5 linked regions of the Canis lupus familiaris genome follow. Each later gene encodes a partner of the first gene's protein in a complex. Links are inferred from orthologs where the notes say so. Each region holds a gene or a part of one and is shown in the gene's direction. Other genes may lie near its edges. The genes, in order: POLR1B, POLR1E, POLR1F, UBTF and POLR2H.

Region 1 (3,512 bases):
TCCGGGACTCCAGGATTGCGCCCTGGGCCAAAGGCAGGCGCCAAACCGCTGAGCCACCCAGGGATCCCCTCTTAGTCTTTTAAATTAGATCCTTAGCCTTTGTCATTTTTGATTTTAACATTGTTTAACAAAAATATAGTTTATTTTGTAGAATGTTTATTGATTTGGTTTGTCTGAGATCTTGTAATTTGATTTTGAAGAACACAAGCCCTTGTAGTCACCCACATCTTATCACTTCTGGTGCTCTGCCTACCTAATGATTCAGGTTTCCGTTGAGTGTTGCATCCCTTGAGCCTAAAAAACCTTCCTATAACATTTTTTATAGTAGGTGGCTGGCTACAAATCCTCTTAGGTTTTATTTCTCCAAAAATGTCTCTATTTCATCTTTACTTGGAACTGGATGTATGATTCTGATTTGACAGTTACTTTTTTTTTTTTTTTTTTTTAGCACTTAAGAGATGTTACACGGTCTCTTCTTGGTGTCTAGAAGTCAGTGATTGATTGTATATAATGTGTTATTTTCCCATCCTTAAGATTTTCTCTTTATATCTGGTTTGTAGCTGATTAAGTATGATATGTCTAGATATGATCTTTGTGCTTGCAGTTTACTGATATTCTAAAATCTGTTCTTGTTTTTTTTTTTAATCTGTTTTAAAAGATATCATCAGGGGCACGTGGGTGGCTCAGTTGGTTAAGCATCTGTCTTTGGCTTGGGTCATATCTCAGGGTCCTGGAATGGAACCTCACATTGGGCTCCCTGCTTAGAGGGGAATCTGCTTCTCCCTCTCCCCCTACCCCTCTGCCCTGCTCGTGTTCTGTCTCTGTTGTGTGCATGCTCTCTTTCAAATAAATAAAATCCTTAGGGGAAAAGGAAAAAAAGACTATGGGTTCTATTATGTTCCTCTGAAGAGGATTGGTCTTATCTTTAACTGTTAGGTAGTGGAACAGAGCAGTTGAAGTATGTTCTTCTGGCCTGAGGTGGGCTGCTCAGATCTGTCCCATGCATGCATAGTTCAGTCCACCGAAGATTTGACTCGGTTTATATGCAGAATTTCAGGCTCTTTACTGTTCCTTCCTTTCTAAAATATCCCCTCTTACATTTGAGTTGCTCTTGTGTTCTGAACTCTACTCCTTGGTTCTTCAAGCCAGCAAGACTGTAGGTCTCTAAGTTGTAGCCACTATACTGACTGGACCATCAGGCAAAACATTAAAAACTAAAAAAGCTAGTATTTTCACTCTGTTCCATTTCTTTTGTTCAAGTGTAAATTCGTCTCTAGTACCTGTTAGCTCTTGGTTATTTTCCAGTGGGTTCAGATTTTGTGTGTGTGTGTCTGTGTGTGCATAAGTGGTGATTTTCTGTTTTATATTGTTCTGGATTTTATGTGCTGAGAGTGGTCTTGTAGGAGCAGCATTTTATTACTGGAAACTGGAAGTCTCCTTTTCTGTCTTTTAAAATTCCGCTATGTATGTATGCATATATATATTTAGTCTTAACATTGTTTCAAATCGATACTCTATAATGTAGTACAAAGAAGTCTTACTTCCCTACCCTCTGTACCCCACACCCAGAATTAACAAACACTGGCATTTTGCTGTGTAAGAAAATAATCTAATTCGATAATAGTTACTGTCCCCTTTTCACCCCTTCTCTTCCACTAGTAATACCCTGTAGTTTGTTTATATATATAGATATAGATATCCTTTATAATCTCCTTTTTTATGCTTTTTTTACATAATATACATGTCCCCATAAACTAGGTATAGAATTGTCTGGGATGTGTTACAAATGTACATAAATCATACATTAAATGACATTCTGTGCTTTTTTTTTCCCCACTCAGCATTGTTTTCATGGTCTGATTACATAGATACATGTGATTCTGCTTCATTTTCATGCTGTGTATTGATTTATTCATTGCTCTGTGATGTATATTTTATTGTTTCCAATTTTATATATGACCTTTATAATCAAGGGGAAAAAAAGAAGATGCTACAGGCTTGGTTTTTTTTTTTTTTTTTTCCCTTTGTAGGGAAGCAAACTATGGGCTTTCCACTTCTCACCTACCAAGCCCGATCAGATAATAAACTGTATCGTCTTCAGACCCCACAAAGCCCTTTAGTGAGACCATACATGTATGATTATTATGACATGGATAACTATCCAATTGGGACAAATGCCATCGTTGCTGTTATTTCTTACACTGGGTATGATATGGAAGATGCCATGGTAAGTTCTACTAAGAGATGTAGTTCCATTCCTTTTAATTTTTAACTTTTTCATTTACTGTTTTTCTGTATCCCTGCACATGAGTATTCTGTTAAATGATTAGTTCCTAGTCTCCATTGAAAGTGGTAAGCCCTGAGGAATATTCACTAAATATTCAGATATGCATATATTGTGCATATTTGAGTGCATAGTATGAGTAGATGTTGAATGAATGTAGTTTTGGATATATCTACCTTTTATATTCATTATGCATGATTAGGCTTTAAGCCCTTTATAAGTGGGTTTTGTTTTTTATTTTTAAAAAAAGATTTATTTATGAATTTATTCATGAGAAACACACAGAGAGAGGCAGAGACATGGGCAGAGGGAGAAGCAGGCTCCCCGCAGGGAGCCTGATGAAAGGAATCGATCCTAGGACCCTGGGACCATGACCTGAGCCAACGGCTCAACCACTCAACCACTGAGCCACCCAGGCGCCCCTATCAGTGGGTTTTAATAGTATAGAAAGCTTGGAAAATTTGGAGGTTTTTTTTTTTTTTTTTTTTTTAAGATTTTATTTATTTATGGTGAAGACGCTTGACCACTGTCCCAGGATGGTGACACCTGTGGCCATCACTCTTTCTGTAACCCTGAAGTGAATTGAGGCTGGCAACCCCACATCATGTCGATGCTGAACCGAGCGACTCAGGCCCTCAGGAAGCCCGAGGCCAGAGGCATGATCCGGACCATCATGCGGGCAGGCCAGGCCACATCTGGGCCTCCATTAGGTCCCATCCTGGGTCAGAGAGGTGTTTCCATCAACCAGTTCTGTGCAAGGAGTTCAACAAGAAGACAAAAGACATCAAAGAAGGCATTCCTTTGCCCACAAGATTTTTGTGAAGCCTAATAGGACATTTGAAATCAAATTGGACAGCCCACTGTTTCCTACTTCCTGAAAGCAGCTGCTGGGATTGAGAAGGGGGCCTGGCAGACAGGGAAGGAGGTGGCCAGCCTGGTGACCTTGAAGCATGTGTATGAAATCGCCCAAATTAAAGCTCAGGATGAGGCCTTCGCCCTGCAGGATGTGGTTCACTCTGTCCTCTGTGGTTCACTCCATCATTGGCTCTGCCCATTCCCTGGGCATTCGTGTGGTGAAGGACCTCCATTCAGAAGAGCTGGCAGCTTACCACAAGGAGCAAGCCACATTCTTGGCTGCCCACAAAGAGGCAGATTTGGCAGCCCAGGCAAAAGCTACCAAGAAGTGACCCTGTCCTCCACATGCCAGGATTTTGAAGGGAATGGCTGA
Region 2 (4,075 bases), on another chromosome or scaffold:
ATATGGGAGGAAGGAAAATCAGAATAAACTCTGTGGTGCTGAATTGGAATTAGAAGTCACTATGATCTCATGGTTTTCAATATATATGGATCTAGAAATTCTAAGTTTTAGAAACTTACTGTTAGTTGTGAAAGTGTGTTTACTTACATATAATCCCTAAGTCAGTTCATTCAGGCCTGGGAGCTGTGACATCCCCCAAGCAGTCCATACCTACTACAGAGATCTTAGTTTCTGAATACTGTTTCCTACCAAAAGAAACCAGAACTCCTTGGAGAAATGGGTGATTCCAGGGCTGGGGCAGGGAAACTACATGACAAATTGAAATATCTTGTGCCAGAAAGTAAGGACACGTTCAAAAAAATGATGTGGACATGTAAAAAGAACCCAGAAACCAACTTAACGGGGTTTCCACTGGCCCGATCTGATAAAACTAGAACTTGAAAATAGGTGATAGTAGATTCTAATCTATTGAATAAAATAGGAATCTACAAGTCCAGACTGATATAAATAAATGAATAAATTGGTAGTGCGATGAACAGGAAATTAGTTTCTCAATACCCACTCACAAAATAAGAGTCAGGTACAAAGGGAAATTACAAAGCAAAGAGAGTAATTTTACAGCAGGGAAACCTCTAACTGGTTGAAGTGGTCAAAGTTATCAGTAATCGGACAAAGAGAAATTGTGGGCCACCTAATAGGATACAGTGAGCATCGTATCCGTGATAGCCCTGCCAAAGGCGCACGCATAACCTGAAACTAGTCATTTGGAAACATTAGACAAATCCAGATTGAGGGACATTCTACAGAACAACTGGCCTGTAATCTTTAAAATTTGCAGGAACTGCAAATGAGGAACTGTTCTGGGTTGAAGGAAACTAAAGACCGTTGAGTAAATGCAACCTGTGTTTTCGGACAGGTTCTTTCTGCTGTAAACACTTTACTGGGACAATTGGTGACGTACTTTGTTGAGACTCGAAGGCGACCTGGGTAACAGATGAGGCCACCTGAGTTCTTGCCCTCAAAGATACCTGCCTTTGAATCCACGCTCAAAGGGTCCGGCTTTGGCCCTTCCGCTCTGCTAAGTCGCCTGATCCCCCACAACCCTCAACGCGTAGGCGAGCGCGGCGCCCCCGGGAGGCCAGCGGGGCAGAGGCCTGGGGCCCCCAGGGTTGGCAGAGAGAGTCCCCGCCTCTCCATGCGGCGGGGCGGGGCGAAGAGTGGGCGGGGGAGCGCGGCGGGGGCGGGGCCGCGCCGTGTGCGCACGCGCGGGGCGGGGCGGGGCCGAGGAGGCCACGCCTCTTCCGCCCCGCGGTTCTGCCGCCGCGTGTGGACCGCTAAGGCGCTCCGGGCCGAGTCTATCCGGGTCCTTAGCCTTGGCGGCCGGACCGGGAGATGGCGGCGGAGGTGTTGCCGAGTGCGCGGTGGCTATACTGTGGGCAGCCCGACGAGAGCCAGAGAGCCGTACTGGGTAAAGACCGCGGAGCCGGAGCCGAGTCCCGCACAGCTCCCTCCGCTCCCGTCTGGGTGCTTCTGCAGCCCTCCTGCCCCTGCCGGACCCCTTTCCCGGCTGGGCCAAGACGCCCTCTAGCCTCCGGCACTGCTTGGGACTTGGTCACCCCCCATCTCTCTGTCACCACCTGGATGGGGACATCCCAGGCAGCCTCCTCCTCAGGGCTCTCCCAGTCACCCCGTCACGCACTCACACCTGCCCCGTATCCTTTTCTCCACGGTCTGGGCTAGGCTTCAGCTGTTTAACCCTGGTCATCTCCTTCCGTCGCGGCCCTTCGCCAGCACTGCCCTCACCTCCCGGTCTCCTCTTCCCGACCGGCAGGGACCTCCTTCAGGCCCCCCTTCAGGCCTGGGCTTCCTTACCACTCCCATGCCTTCAGACGCTCTCTCCCAACGAACAGTCCGGTTCCTCCCCACCATACACACTGTGGGTCCTTCTACTCATCTCATTTTTGCGCTGCAATCTTACAGTGCAGTTCTCCAACGGGAAGCTGCAGAATCCAGGCAACGTGCGTTTTACTTTGTACAAGAGCAATGACTCCACAAACCCCAGGAAGAGGAGTCAGCGGATTCTGGTAAGTGCTGCGGGGGCCAGCTGCCTCCACTCTGCAGATTTCTGAAGGTCTTGGAGGCGCTTGGGTGTGGGTGGATGTGGGAGGGAGGGAGAGGAGAAAAGAGATAGCAAATGAGCCTTGGGAGAACCGTGAGTCCCAGCAGGTTGGGGTGTGGGGACAGGCTCCATTCATTCAGTTATGTACTTTTGGTGAAGTGATGACCTTTCATTGATCTATTCATTCAGCAAGCTTTTATTGAGCACCCACCGTGGCTGTGCTGTAAGCTGCACGGGAAATAGCGAAATGGGACTTGGCTCCACCCTGGGGGAGCTCCTACTCTAGAGCAGGGTTGCTCAGTCTTGGCACTATTGACATTTTGATCCAGATAATTCTGTGTTGTGGGCCAGACCTGTGCATTGCGGGATGTTCAGCTTCCCTGGTCTCTAACCACTAGATACCAGTAGCACCTCCTCTTTGTGACACCCAGAATTCCCAGAGGTGTCCCTCACGCCCCCTCACCCCCCCCCAACCAAGGGTGATTTGCTGGGTGAGAACAACTGCTTTCGAAAGGTGAGAACTGGTTTTGAGTTCAGTAACTCACACAAGCCTGCAAGCTCTGAGCCTGGAACGAGTTCATTTGAGCTCAGGAAGTCTCTGCTTGTCAGAAGGCCTTCCTGGGGGAGGACACATAGCAGCTAAGCTCTGAAGACTGGAGGACGGTTTGACAGCTGAGGTTCCCTATTCCAAGTGAAAAGGAGAGCAGGGACAAACATAGGGAAGCAGGAAAGCTTGGCTGTGATTGAGGAGTGAATTAGCTGTCTCCATAGTCCTGCCAGCATATAAGCAGCAGCCATGGGAGAGATGGACAAAGAAGTTCAGGAAGGCTTGGACTTTGGGCCCAGGAGGTTGCTGGCAGAACCATTTTGTTGCATGCCTCTAAGTGCTAGCCCAGGAGCTCTCTCCCAAGTCCTGTGGTATAGCTCCCCTGAGCACTTTTCAGACCAGCTAGAAGCCAGCACTATATGGGGCTTCCCTTTCAAAAGTCCTCTTGCCTTTCTCCCAGAGACACCCAGATTCACTTGGAGAGTGGGGCTGGATCACCTCCCAGAGGCTCTCTAGTTCTGATCCACTGTGGTTTGGATTCTAAAGCTTTTGCAAATGTGGGAAAGGGAGACAATATGCTTGATACCTCTCAACATTGGTTGTGGTGGTGCTTTTTCACTTTACATTTTAGGCAGCTGAAACAGACAGACTTTCCTACGTGGGAAACAATTTCGGGACTGGAGCCCTCAAATGCAACACTTTGTGCAGGTAGGGGTTGGGGAAGGGACAACAAGGGGAGGATAGTGGTGGTGAGCCTGGCACTGTTGTTTTCGGTCTTTATTTTAGGAGTCGGGGGCAAATCTGGAGAGGTTTACCATGTCCTTGGGTTCCCAGATCCAGGGGCCTTCACAACCAACATGCCTAAAAAGAAAAAATAAGTTAACATTTGTTGGATTTCCTAAAATCTCATTCATTTGTAATTTTCTTTAAGATAATTTTTAGGGGTGCTTGGCTGGCTCAGTCATTGGAGCTTGGGACTCTTAGTCTTGAGGCTGTGAGTTTGAGCCCCACTTTGGGAGTAAAGATTACTTTAAAAAGTCTTAAATAATAATTTTTTAACTGCGATATAACTTTACACTAGTTTTAGGTATATAATATAATGATTAGATATTTGTATATGTTGCAAAATGGTCACCACAATAAGCAGTCATCCAGGGGTGCCTGGGTGGCTCAGTTGATTAAGCCTCTGCTTTTGGCTCAGGTCATGATCCCTGCTTCCTGGGATCAAGCCCCATGTTGGGCTCCCTGCTCAGCAAGGAGTCTGCTTCTCCCTCCTCCTGCTCTCACTCTTTCTCTCCCTCTCAAATAAAATCTTAAAAAAAAAAAAAAAAAAAAAAGTCATCCACTGCCACACATATTACAATTTTTTTCTTGTAATTAGAACTTTTAAGATTTGCTCTCAGCAACTT
Region 3 (4,062 bases), on another chromosome or scaffold:
GGGGATTGTGATAAATGGGACTCCGGGGCTGGCAGCAGATCCCTATATGGTCTTGTAAGTACCTTAGCCATATTAAGGAGTCTGTGTTACCCTGAGAAACCTGGGGCGCCCATGGGAACAAGTCATGGTTCTATTTGTGTTTGGGAGAAGGGGCTCCCGGGGGTCCTCTTGACCATCAGGACTAAGCTTCCACAGGCACTTCTGCGGTTTGGGAAGTGAGGACAGACAGAAGTATCCCCAATAGGCCGATGTTTCCGCCGTGGACCCCACAAGCCGTGGGGCCGACTCGATATTTGAGGGTACAAGAGAGGCTCCTAGGGGACCAGCTGAGCTGAGCCCTTTGGAAAGTGGTAAGATCTCTTGAGTTAGTTGTTACAGGCTGAGCAGAGAGTCCAGACGGGAGAGAGAGATGATGGGTTGATTTTCAGATGTCTCGCAGTTGAGGCATCTGGGCTGCATTTTAGGACTGGATTCCCTGCAGAAAATACATGCCCTAAAATTTTAAAGTTTATTATTTGTATTGTCCACGCTGGCAAAATTTACCAGACCACGTTATTACTGGAAACTATCAAAGTGCGAACCCCTATTAAGTCTACATATTAAATCCAAAAAAGAGGGGATCCCTGGGTGGTGCAGCGGTTTAGTGCCTGCCTTTGGCCCAGGGCACGATCCTGGAGACCCGGGATCGAATCCCACATCAGGCTCCTGGTGCATGGAGCCTGCTTCTCCCTCTGCCTGTGTCTCTGCCTCTCTCTCTCTCTCTCTCTCTCTCTCTCTCTCTCTCTCTCTGTAACTATCATAAATAAAAAAATTAAAAAAAAAAAAACAAAAAAAAAAAAAACAAAAAAGACGTTACGGGGAATCCCCTGGGTGGCTCAGCGGTTTGGCGCCGCCTTCAGCCCAGGGCGTGACCCTGGAGACCTGGGATCGAGACCCGCGTCGGGCTCCCTGCGAGGAGCCTGCTTCTCCCTCTGCCTGTGTCTCTCATGAATAAATAAATAAATAAAATATTAAAAAAAAAAAAAAGGACGTTAGCGGACGGTTTGGCTGCCCCGAGGAGAGGAGGTGGTGGCCGGGCCTGCAGCACGCTCCGGACTTGAGCCGCGGCTCTCCGCTCCCGCCGCCGTCCCGCAGGCGGAAAAGCGGCTGCCCTCTGCTGGTCACAAGCGCGTAACGCGACTCAAGGAGAGCAATTTCCTAGGGGCGGGCCGGCGGGTGGATGACGTGGAACCCGGGCGCCCGCAGGAGGCGGCGGCGCGTGCGTCAGCCGTGGGCGCCGCGGGAAAGCTGGCCGAAGCGCATGGCTGCGGGTTGCTGCGAGTCTCCGCCGCCTAAGGCGGCCTCTGAGGGGCCGGCCGGCGTGTTGCCTTGCCTAGAGCTTCCGACCTACGCGGCGGCTTGTGCGCTGGTGAGTAGCCGTTACTCCTGCCTGGTGGCGGGGCCGCACCGAAGACACATCGCGCTTTCGCCGCGCTACCTTCACCGGAAACGCACGGGTATCCGGGAACAGCTGGACGCGGAGCTGCTGCGCTATTCCGAAAGGTACCGGCCCCTCGGGCCCTTCCTGCGTGCGCCGGCGCACGGGCGGGGGTAGCGACGAGGTAGCAGAAGAGGCGTGAGGGGGCAGGAACGCCCTGGCCACCTGGACGCCCTCGGGACTCTTCTTCGGGCCCGGAAGGCCGGTACCTGCCTAGTCGGTCCATGTAACAGGCAGGAAGGGGGACGGGCTAGAGGAGCTTGCTCTATGGCGTTCAGGGGGAAGAATAGAGCAGGGGCCTAGAAACCCCGTCGGCCCGGGTGCCCCCGCCCCTCCCCCCGCAGAGGGAGAAGCAGGCTCCACGCGGGGAGCGCGACGTGGGGCTCGATCCCGGGACTCCAGGGTCACGCCCCGGGCTGCGGGCGGCGCTAGACCGCTGGGCCACACGGGCTGCCCGAGAGATACTTCTGCTGGGTTCTCTTGCTTGGGACCTGATCAGGGACGAGAAAAGTACTGTGTTTTTATTTATTTATTTATTCATTCATTCATTCATTCATTCATTCATGATAGAGAGGCAGAGGGAGAAGCAGGCTCCATGCAGGGAGCCCGACACGGGACTCGATCCGGGGACCCCAGGATCACGCTCTGGGCTGAAGGCAGGCGCTAAACCGCTGAACCACCCAGGGATGCCCCCTTTGTTTTGTTTTTAAGAGCAGTTTAATTAATCTAACTGGCCATTCTGTTGGGCTTGGGGGTGAAAAACCTTTGTGGTTCGTTTAATGTGTTCAGAAGAAACGGAGTTACAAGAACGGAGGGTCAAAGGAAGGGGGCATGTGTACTTTAATATTGCAATAGGGCTGCTTTGCCTCAAAAGCAAAGGTTCCGGAGCTGGGACAAGTGGAATTCCTGGGGATTCCTTACTGCACTTCAGAAATTTCATGACATCCTCCCCCCACCCCCACCCCCCTCCTCGGGAAATTTGCTGTCCGTGTTCTAGGTCAAAGTATCCAAAGTGTTCCCTTTCTCCAGGGATCCTGAACAGGTTAAGAAGCAAGCAAGTCTAGGATGTACGGCTCATTCCAAGCACCAGCACCCTTGTGTGGTGGCTGTTTTATGTACTAGGGACTTAGGATTTAAAAACAAAGAAAAAACAAGATCCCTGTTTCAAGAAACTGTAAGCTCTAGTAAAGATATAAATGTCAGATAAATCGAATGAAATGTTAAAATTTGACAGAGGTCTAAAGTTATATTAAGAGAAAGAGTAGTGAATTTGATATTAGGACCTCTGAGATGGTAGTATTCAAGGCATAAAAAGTGTAACGTAAACGGATAGTAGATAAAAATAGACTGCTTTGGTCAGAGAATTGTAAGTACTATATAATTGGAGTAAGATTTATGTTAAGAGGAAAGAAAGTGTGTGCAGTTGAAGAGAGCAGAGGCAGCGTGGGGGATCACTCAGGATGTACATTTTGCTCTTTCCTTCTTATCTACTAGGTTTTTTTTTCCTCTTTGCTTAAGCAGGCTTGGCGCTTGGTCCTCCTAGTGCCCTCCAGTTCTGAAATTTGGTGCACTCTGGAGAGAGTAGTGCATATCCGATCTCTGGGACATGATCAGATACACAGTTGAAGAAGAAACCACGCTTGATAGCATTAGCTGATGGCTTGAGTGAGGCTGTAGACATGGAGACCAATTAAGAGATTGTTACAACTGTCCAAGAGAAAATGACTAGAGAGTATGGAATTGAGAGTTATTAAGGATATAAAAGTGGTCATAAAATCTGGAAAGAGGCATTGTTTGATATACTTACTACTTTCTGGAACCAATCAGTGCTTCCACTTGACAGGCTAGGAGGAAGCCACCTGAAGTGTCCCAAGTCCGAGCCATTACCCCAGAGATATAAGGAACCCATGGACAGTGTGGCCTTATGGAGCAGGTTGCGCTCTGAACAAATGAGGACTGCCCACCACACCCTCCCCTCCCCCACCCCCCAGTACCACTCTGGGTAGTGGGCTACCCCAGTGTGATAAAGACTCGGACTTAGGGCAAATAAAGCAGCACACATTGAACTATACATTTCTAATTAGGGACGAAACCTTGAACTGTAATGTCAATCATTTATCGTGTATAGGTAGATTTACAGACTTTGGCGCCATCAGGAGGAATCAGGAAGACTTGTTTCACTTTGTTTGAGAAATGAGGAAAACCAGAGTGTTGGGAAGTGGAGGAGGGACAATAAAGTATCCCCCAAACTGAGAAGGCACTTTGAGATTTGAAAATGAAGTAGGTGACTCCATACATTTTACACACCCTTCGATTCTGGGTAATTTACTGACATAGGGGACTGGACATGTGATTATCCTGCAGCTGCACAGCTATTCTCCACAAAGTTTGGGCCTTAGTTCACATTTACAGAGTACAAAGGGGTGTGCAGAAGGCATTTTGGTTAGGTCAGAGGTCTAACACTTAACAGACTTTCTGGTGCCACGTGTGCTCCAGAAGAGGGGGAGGAAAGTGTGTTACCTATAGTAGTTATCTAAACAACTTTAGGGAAAATCAGAACAACTTGTATTCTGGTCAGGGCATAT
Region 4 (3,512 bases), on another chromosome or scaffold:
CTCCCCCGCCCTCCAGCCTGGGGCCTCCCCGGGGCGGGCGCACAGAGGAGGAGGAGATTTTTTTTTTTTTTTTTTTTTTTTTTTGGCCCGGGTGGGGGAAGGAGGGCGGAGGGCGGGCGCTCGCTGCACGCGGGAGCTGGGAGCAGTCTCTCGCGTGGGCAGGGGAGGGCGCACGCGGTGGAGCCGGGCTGCAGGGGCGCGGGGGGGCGCACTCCCACACCCACAGACCCTTTAGGTCTACTAGGGTCTTGGCAGGGTCTCCGTTAAAGTGCGGACTTGTGCCCCCCTCCCCCTTGGGGGAGGGAGGAATAGAAAGTCCCTCACCTCGCATCCCGCCTGAGTGGGGACTGGTGTCTCTTCTAAAGGGTGAGGTGGTTTTGACCGCGGGTTGCCCGGCCAGCACGACCCAAGGAGGAGGCTGGACGGCTAAAGAATGAACGGAGAAGCTGACTGCCCCACAGACCTGGAAATGGCCGCCCCCAAAGGCCAAGGTAGGAGCACTTTAACTTACGTCCTCTTTTCCCACATGGTTGTTTGCGGGACCCCCTCTCCTTCGAAAGGGGTTAGACAGTCCCTGTTCTCTGAATCGAGGTGAGGGGGGTATCTTCAGTTTTATGAGTCAAGTTTGGCTAAACCCAAGTTATTTGGCCTTGAGGCTATAAACTATATTTTCCACACTTCATTCTCCCACTTAGAGAGAGAGTCTTATGGGAGCCTTCATTCTGGGATTCCCATCTGGCCAGAGTTTGTCCTTTCCTCACCCAGAGTCCTGGAATGGGAGGAAGGATGAGCAATGGGGGGGAGGGGGAGAAGGGAGGGATTGGCAAGGCTTTTCAGGTGTTTTATTGTTATTCAGAGGACAAGGTTTTGGGTGAGGCAGGTGGAGACAGGATATTTTGGTGGTTTGAGGCTCCAAGCCATAGGAGGTCCATAACTAGATCCTACCCCATCCAGGAGAGATCCTGTGCCGATGGGGGCAGGGGGTTGGATGAAGCTGAGCATCTGGCCCTGACTGGGACGCTGAGAGGACTGAGGATTATTGGTCCATGTGACCCACCCTGTGGCAACCTTGACCCTGGTTACCAGATGCAAATGCAAATGAAGAGCCCTTTTGACTCCTAGTCCTGGTTGTTCTCCTAACTTACCTTCCAGGGTAGCCACCCTCCAGAGAGGCCTGCTGAGGCTAGTTCAGTGGCTGGAAATAGCTGGTTCAGACCCCCCCTCCCCCTTTTTTTTGCCTCCATGGGGAGTTGGACCCAGAAGACAACTCAGAATTCTGGGGGTTCTCCCTGGAGCCAGGGCCCTGAGAACCTTTGCTCGTCTGCTTGTCTTGCCTCTCAGCTGCCCTGTATGGTTCTTCCATTTCCATTCCATTTTTCTTACTTGCCCAAAATTGCCCATGTCTCCAGTGTTAGTTTCCAGCTGTGCCAGAGAGAAATGTCTGCATGGGTTCTCCTTACTGCCCACACTCCATCCTCAGCCCTTGCACATCCATGGTATCCACCTAGAACTTAAACTTGGCAACACATTTCAACTTGGTCTGCCTCCCTGCTTCCCTCCCCTCTCCTAGTAAGTTAGCTGTTTTCCCACCAGGTCCCAAATCACTGTAGCTTCATTTCTTTCTCTTCCCTGCAATAAATAGTAGTCTGTGGCAACCTGGCATGTTAGAAATGACCATAGTTTTGAAGTAAACCAGACTTGATTTCAAGTCTGGCTTTCTAGGTATGATGCTCTCTGGTCTGGAATACCCGCTCCAATCCACATGGTCACAGTTTTCTCTTGTGACTAGGTCATGTCTTGTCTTTGCCTTCACATCAGAGATCCCCAGGGATTTGGGATGCCCAGGGAAAGAAGGATTGAGCACTTAAGGACTGGGGAACAGATGGGGGGGAAGCATGAGCTGGGCATGATGTGCCTTTCTTGCCCCTCCCCAGACCGCTGGTCCCAGGAAGACATGCTGACTTTGCTGGAATGCATGAAGAACAACCTTCCATCCAATGACAGCTCCAAGTTCAAAACAACCGAGTCACATATGGATTGGGAAAAAGTAGCATTTAAAGACTTTTCTGGAGACATGTGCAAGCTCAAATGGGTGGAGATTTCTAATGAGGTAACTGATCCCCTCCCCCTTCTGCTGCCCCCTTCCTGACGCGTCTACGTGAACCCCTGCCTCAACCTTCCTGGTGGGGGAGAGGAAACAGAAGTCAATAAACAGGAAGGAAAGAGACCAGGCGAGGTGCTTATGTGGTCGCCCTTGTGCATTGGGGAGGTGGCACGGTTGATAGCACTGGCCTAGAGCTCTCAGTTCTGCCGCTTCCTAGCTGTGTGGCCTTGAATACTTACATCTGGGATCTTCTCTCGCCTGAGCTGTTCTGGGGATTGAATGAGGTGCTGGCATGGACAACACATCGAGGTCAGGTGGTCACCTTGTTGTCGTCCTTTGGTGTGTACGGACTGTCTGGTCCTGTGCCATAGGAGTGGGCCAGTGCCCAGGTGTTGTCTGGGTGTCAGGGGCTGAGTTGTGGCTGTTGGCTCCTGCCCCTCCTCGTCTGATAAATTCAGTGTAGTGGAAAGTAGAGGAGACCTGTTGGGAAAGGGGGTAGGCTCTAGGGTGGTGTTTTCCTCTCCTGAACTTCCTCTTGCACTCACCTCCTTTCTTCTCCAGGTGAGGAAGTTCCGAACATTGACAGAATTGATCCTTGATGCTCAGGAACATGTTAAAAATCCTTACAAAGGCAAAAAACTCAAGGTGAGTTTCCAGGAGGAGGAGTATGATGTGTAAGAGAGGAATGGTCCAAAGAACAGATACTGTCTGACCTTCACCGTGTCCTTGACCCTCCTTCCAGAAACACCCGGACTTCCCAAAGAAGCCCCTGACCCCTTATTTCCGCTTCTTCATGGAGAAGCGAGCCAAGTATGCGAAACTCCACCCTGAGATGAGCAACCTGGACCTGACCAAGATTCTGTCCAAGAAATACAAGGAGCTGCCGGAGAAGAAGAAGGTGGGGGGAGGGGGGCAAAGTAGGGAGGACGGGAAGGGCAGGGAGCAGCTGGTGCAGTGTAGGTCAGCTCAGGCATAGAGGGACATCAGGGATGGGGTTGGGTAAGCAGAGCAGAGTGCAGGGTCCTGGGCAGCCACACTCGGTCCCCTCCTCCCACTCCCATACACTATCAAGTGCAGGCATGGTCGAAGGTGTGACCCGGACTGAAGCAGATGCTCGGACCAGCCCTTTCCCCCCACAGACAGTCCAAGTGTTGCCTCATCCAGCTTTACCTCTATGGTCGCATTCTCACTGTTAGGCTGGCACAGCAGCTCATCCTTGGACAGTTTTCACTGTGGTCTCACTTGGTGCGTGCAGTATCCTCATAAAGGGAACCCCCAGAGAAGGGGTTATTCCGGTTGTGTGGGCAAGGAACTGGGGCCCAGGAGGGACTCGCGTCCTGGGTCACACAACTAGCAACAGCAGAACAGCACTTGGGTGCTCTTCTCACCGCCATGTCCACACATATTA
Region 5 (4,094 bases), on another chromosome or scaffold:
AGGCGGGGGTGAGGACGTGATGCTCGGAACTGAGACCCTCCCGTGTCTCTCATCCTCTTCCCTCCTCCTCTTCTCCAGGGTTCCTCTTCTAGGAAGTCACACCTGGAGCAACCTGGCCTGCGGGGTGTACGGGGTGGAGACAGGGAGGAAAGGTGAAGGGGTGAGGCCCGAGGGGAGAGATGTCTAGGTGCTGGCGAGGAGGCTCCTGGAAGGCGGGCGTGGGGGTACAGAGGTCGTTTTTCCCTGGCGGGGCCCAAGGAGAAACTCGAGTAGCTGCTGACGTCTCGCCGCCACCTGGGGATCTGTGTTCTCTCTCAGGGTCTGGAGAAGGATGGAGCAGAGGGTGGGGTGAGCACAGGGTGGATGGACAATGTAGGAGAGAGCGTGTTAGGGGAGAGGCGGGTGCCCAGGACACGGGCAGTGTGCGGGAGGACGCAGTACCAGGATGGAGGGGCCCGCGGGAGGCAGAGGCGGTGCCCAGGAAGGGGCAGTGTGAGAGGAGCGGCACCCAAGAGGAGGGGGGGCTCGTATCCGTGGGAGCGGACGGTGCCAGCCTGAAGGGGCACGTAGATCAGCGTCCAAGGGAGAAGGCGGGGGGGGGGGGGCAGGTAGTACCAAGCTGCAGGGGCAGCGCTGTGTGATGGGGTTAAACGCCAGCCGTCAGCCGGGCTGAAGAGGCGGAGTGGAAGAGAGTGGGGCCCCGGGGAAGAGGGCAGTGGTAGGGGGGTGCTGTACCAGGGGAAGGGACGAGCGCAGGCTTTCCTCTTCCCCATAGTGACATCATGGCAAATTCCCAAACGGGACGGAGCCGGCTCGGGTGACATCCAGCAGGGCCAAGCCGGTCCAGCCCGGTCCAGCCCGGTCCAGCCCGGGCCCGGCTAGGAAGCCTCGGTGCCAGCTGTGGGGACTGGGCTCTGCGCCCCGCAGGGTCAGCGCGCTGGGGGCGGAGTTCCGCCCCGTCCGCCCTCCGCGTGGACTGTGCCCTCGGCGGGCACGCAGACCAGCAGGGGAAGGTTTGCGCCGGGCTTCTCCGGGCCAAGGATCAAGGTCCCGGGCTGGGGTAGGCCCGCCCGCATTCCAGGCGTCCCGACCCGGCCTCTCAAGAGGGCGCAGCCGAGCCTCCGCGTACAGCGAGACGCCGCGCCGCCTCGGCTGGAGGTGGAACTAACCGGGTCCCCGCCCCGGGGCGGAGCCACCCGGCCCCGAGTCCCGCCCCCCACTCCCGAGGCCTCTCGGAAGGCGTCGTTCGGGGCGGAAGTCCGCGAGCCCCGAGGCCCAGGCGGCGGAAGTGGCGGCGGCGCTGCCTGCCCGCGCGCATGCGTGTTTCTAGGGCTCTGCGGCCGCTCTCTGGGCGCGCGCTCTCCTTCTCTCCTTTACTCCACGCGAGGGGGAGCGCGTACCCCTAGGCGTGGTCGCGCTCCCGGCCCCTCTCGTACTCTCGTGGCCACCTCACCATGGCGGGCATCCTGTTTGAGGATATTTTCGATGTGAAAGACATTGACCCGGAGGGCAAGAAGTTTGACCGAGGTAAGGTGGAGGTAGACGTAGGGGCGGCCGAGTCAGGGGGTAACCTCCTCGGGGACACGCCTGTGGGCCCCTGGTCCACCCACGCCGCGTGGCCCGCCCCTGCCGGCAGTTCCTGACTCAGGAATCCCCATCAGGAGACCTTGGATCGATGGGAACTCGGCGTCTCCCGAACTCCGCCTGGCTCCACACAGGCTGGCCCGGTGCCTGGGTGGCCCGTTCTCATGGTGCTGGTGCACCCCCGTGCATCTTCCAGTCGCTCCCCACTCTGCTGGGCGCTGTAGCGTGCACCTTACACACACTTCGTCCTGCCCAGTTCTCTCAGGAGCCTCCATGAAGTAGTTGGTGTCTTACCCATTTTGCCCCGAGAAGTTAAGTAAGCTACCCAAGGCTGCACAGTGACTAGTCCGACTTCAGAGCCTGTATTCTTGTATTGTCCTGAGAATCTCTAGCCCTTTGTGACATCCGCTCTGAATTAGGATTGCTGCTTGCCATACAGCTCTTTATTCTGCCGTTGATCAGACTGGGCCTCCTTGGGGGTCTCTTCTTTTGTCCAGAGACTGAGATGTTCTTCAAGACAAACACCAGGTCTTAACAGTCCTGATAGTCCACTCAGCACAGCAGCTGGCACAGAAAGACAAAACTTTTTTTTTTTTTTTTTTAAGATTTATTTATTTGATAGAGAAAGCAGAGTGAGAGCGTATGAGTGAGGAGGAGGGGCAGGGAGAGAAAGAGAGACAAGCAGACTCCCTGCTTGAACAAGGAGCCGGATGCGGGGCTCCATCCCAGGACCCCGGATCACGACCTGGACTGAAGGCAGATAAACAACTGGGCCACCCAGGCGCCCTGAGACAAAACCTTTGGGGGGATCCCTGGGTGGCTCAGCGGTTGAGCACCTGCCTTTGGCCCAGGGCGTGATCCTGGAGTCCCGAGTCGGGCTCCCTGCAGGGAGCCTGCTTCTCCCTCTGCCTTTGTCTCTGTCTCTCTCTCTGTGTCTCTCATGAATAAATAAATAAAATCTTTATAAAAAAAAAAAAAAGACAAAACCTTTGGATGAATGAATAACTTGTCTAAAGTCAGGTTGTTTGTTAATCACCTAGGCAGGCCTAGAACCTGGATATTATTTATTGCCAGAGGGACCTTTGGTTGTTTTCTGGGATTCTGTCCACTTGCCATAGTTTTCACTCCTTTCCTTCTGGCATATCTGGTTCTCATTGAGTCTGCACTTCTTTGAGAGCAGACGTGAGGCTAGTGGATGCAGATGGGGTTCGAATGAGTGCTCAATTGCATGTAATCCCCCAAAGTGGGGTCTGCAGGGTCTGCAGAGCCTGGCAATTACCTATGCCACTCTTTCTCTACCTCCCTCCAGTGTCTCGGCTACATTGTGAGAGTGAATCTTTCAAAATGGACCTGATCTTAGATGTAAACATTCAGATTTACCCTGTAGACTTGGGTAAGTATTGAACACAGACAATAGCAGAAGGCTTTTTGACATTTCAGCTGTTCTTTAGCCTCTGGTATTGCCATGATTTTCAGGTGACAAGTTCCGGTTGGTCATAGCCAGTACATTATATGAAGATGGTACCCTGGATGACGGTGAATACAACCCCACAGATGATAGGCCTTCCAGGTGAGGAAGTGAAGTACTTCCCTCTCAGGAAAGGAGTACTTGAAATACGCTTGAGGACTAAGTAGATAAGTGGTATAGGAAAAAACCCTTATTTAATTTGTGGAATAAATGATTATCAGTAGTATCTGAGCAACCTTAAGGAAATTGCTGCACTTAAGAATTCAATGGGGATCCCCAGGTGGCTCAGCGGTTTAAGCGCCTGCCTTCGGCCCAGGGCATGATCCTGGAGTCCCTTCGGCCCAGGGCATGATCCTGGAGTCCCGGGATTGAGTCCCGTGTCGGGCTCCCTGCATGGAGCCTGCTTCTCCCTCCGCTTCTCCCTCTGCCTGTGTCTCTGCCTCTTTTTCTCTCTCTCTTTCTCTCTCTCTCTGTGTCTCTCATAAATAAATAAATAAATAAATAAATAAATAAATAAATAAATAAAATCTTAAAAAAAAAAAAAAAGAATTCAAACAACCAGGTAGCCTGGATGACTCATGGCTCAGTGGTTTAGCGCTGCCTTCAGCCCAGGGCTTGGTCCTGGGGACCTGGGATCGAGTCCTGGGTTGGGCTCCCTGCATGGGGCCTGCTTCTCCCTCTGCCTGTGTCTCTGCCTCTCTCTCTCATGAATAAATAAATAAAATCTTAAAAAAAAAAAATTCTAACAACCAGGTGTTTTTCCAGGGCAGCAATTACATGCTTGTGGGTTGTACCTTATCGATGGCTAAGGAGATGACCATCAAGTGACCCAGGCTATGTGAGCCTTGCGTCTTGGGAGAGAGTTTGGTGTGATGGAAGGGCTTTGGAGCTCTACTGAGTTCAAATCTCAGCCCTATCAGTTCTTTGTTGAATGGCTTTAACCTCTTGCAGCCTCAGTTTCCCCATCAGTAAAGTGCAGATGATCACACCTTGCTCATATGGTTGCTGGGAGGACTAAATGGCATTGTGTTTGGAAAACGTC

Evidence for each region.
Region 2: the proteins of POLR1B (region 1) and POLR1E are in contact, whole or in part, in a cryo-EM structure (PDB 8A43), measured with the Homo sapiens proteins. The link is inferred for Canis lupus familiaris from reciprocal best matches to the Homo sapiens genes POLR1B and POLR1E. Residues at the interface, in NP_061887.2 of Homo sapiens: Lys254, Ser258, Phe259, Ser260, Tyr262, Gln263, Gln266, Ser295, Thr296, Gln297, Ser338, Thr340, Glu341, Ala532, Cys535, Pro541, Ile542, Asp543, Gly544; in NP_071935.1 of Homo sapiens: Gln27, Ser29, Asn30, Gly31, Tyr69, Thr76, Leu79, Lys80, Cys81, Leu84, Cys85, Met109, Gln110, Pro111, Leu112, Phe113.
Region 3: POLR1B (region 1) and POLR1F share a complex: the UniProt entries of both Homo sapiens proteins name them as parts of the RNA polymerase I (Pol I) complex. The link is inferred for Canis lupus familiaris from reciprocal best matches to the Homo sapiens genes POLR1B and POLR1F.
Region 4: POLR1B (region 1) and UBTF share a complex: the UniProt entries of both Homo sapiens proteins name them as parts of the pol I pre-initiation complex. The link is inferred for Canis lupus familiaris from reciprocal best matches to the Homo sapiens genes POLR1B and UBTF.
Region 5: POLR1B (region 1) and POLR2H share a complex: the UniProt entries of both Homo sapiens proteins name them as parts of the pol I pre-initiation complex. The link is inferred for Canis lupus familiaris from reciprocal best matches to the Homo sapiens genes POLR1B and POLR2H.

The regions. Positions count from the first base shown.
Region 1 is NC_049238.1:36,973,092-36,976,603, forward strand, and holds part of POLR1B (DNA-directed RNA polymerase I subunit RPA2), read left to right. Parts: intron 1-2,030; coding exon 2,031-2,227; intron 2,228-2,598; exon of another isoform or gene 2,599-3,512. UniProt on the Homo sapiens protein: Catalytic core component of RNA polymerase I (Pol I), a DNA-dependent RNA polymerase which synthesizes ribosomal RNA precursors using the four ribonucleoside triphosphates as substrates.
Region 2 is NC_049232.1:54,125,677-54,129,751, forward strand, and holds the start of POLR1E (DNA-directed RNA polymerase I subunit RPA49), read left to right. Parts: upstream 1-1,273; 5' UTR 1,274-1,392; coding exon 1,393-1,468; intron 1,469-1,980; coding exon 1,981-2,084; intron 2,085-3,297; coding exon 3,298-3,374; intron 3,375-4,075. UniProt on the Homo sapiens protein: Component of RNA polymerase I (Pol I), a DNA-dependent RNA polymerase which synthesizes ribosomal RNA precursors using the four ribonucleoside triphosphates as substrates.
Region 3 is NC_049235.1:33,912,367-33,916,428, reverse strand, and holds the start of POLR1F (DNA-directed RNA polymerase I subunit RPA43), read left to right. Parts: upstream 1-1,250; 5' UTR 1,251-1,300; coding exon 1,301-1,542; intron 1,543-4,062. UniProt on the Homo sapiens protein: Component of RNA polymerase I (Pol I), a DNA-dependent RNA polymerase which synthesizes ribosomal RNA precursors using the four ribonucleoside triphosphates as substrates.
Region 4 is NC_049230.1:19,054,983-19,058,494, forward strand, and holds part of UBTF (nucleolar transcription factor 1), read left to right. Parts: intron 1-365; 5' UTR 366-433; coding exon 434-491; intron 492-1,934; coding exon 1,935-2,110; intron 2,111-2,665; coding exon 2,666-2,749; intron 2,750-2,846; coding exon 2,847-3,002; intron 3,003-3,512. UniProt on the Homo sapiens protein: Recognizes the ribosomal RNA gene promoter and activates transcription mediated by RNA polymerase I (Pol I) through cooperative interactions with the transcription factor SL1/TIF-IB complex.
Region 5 is NC_049255.1:17,408,718-17,412,811, forward strand, and holds the start of POLR2H (DNA-directed RNA polymerases I, II, and III subunit RPABC3), read left to right. Parts: upstream 1-1,292; 5' UTR 1,293-1,454; coding exon 1,455-1,527; intron 1,528-2,893; coding exon 2,894-2,977; intron 2,978-3,060; coding exon 3,061-3,154; intron 3,155-4,094. UniProt on the Homo sapiens protein: DNA-dependent RNA polymerase catalyzes the transcription of DNA into RNA using the four ribonucleoside triphosphates as substrates.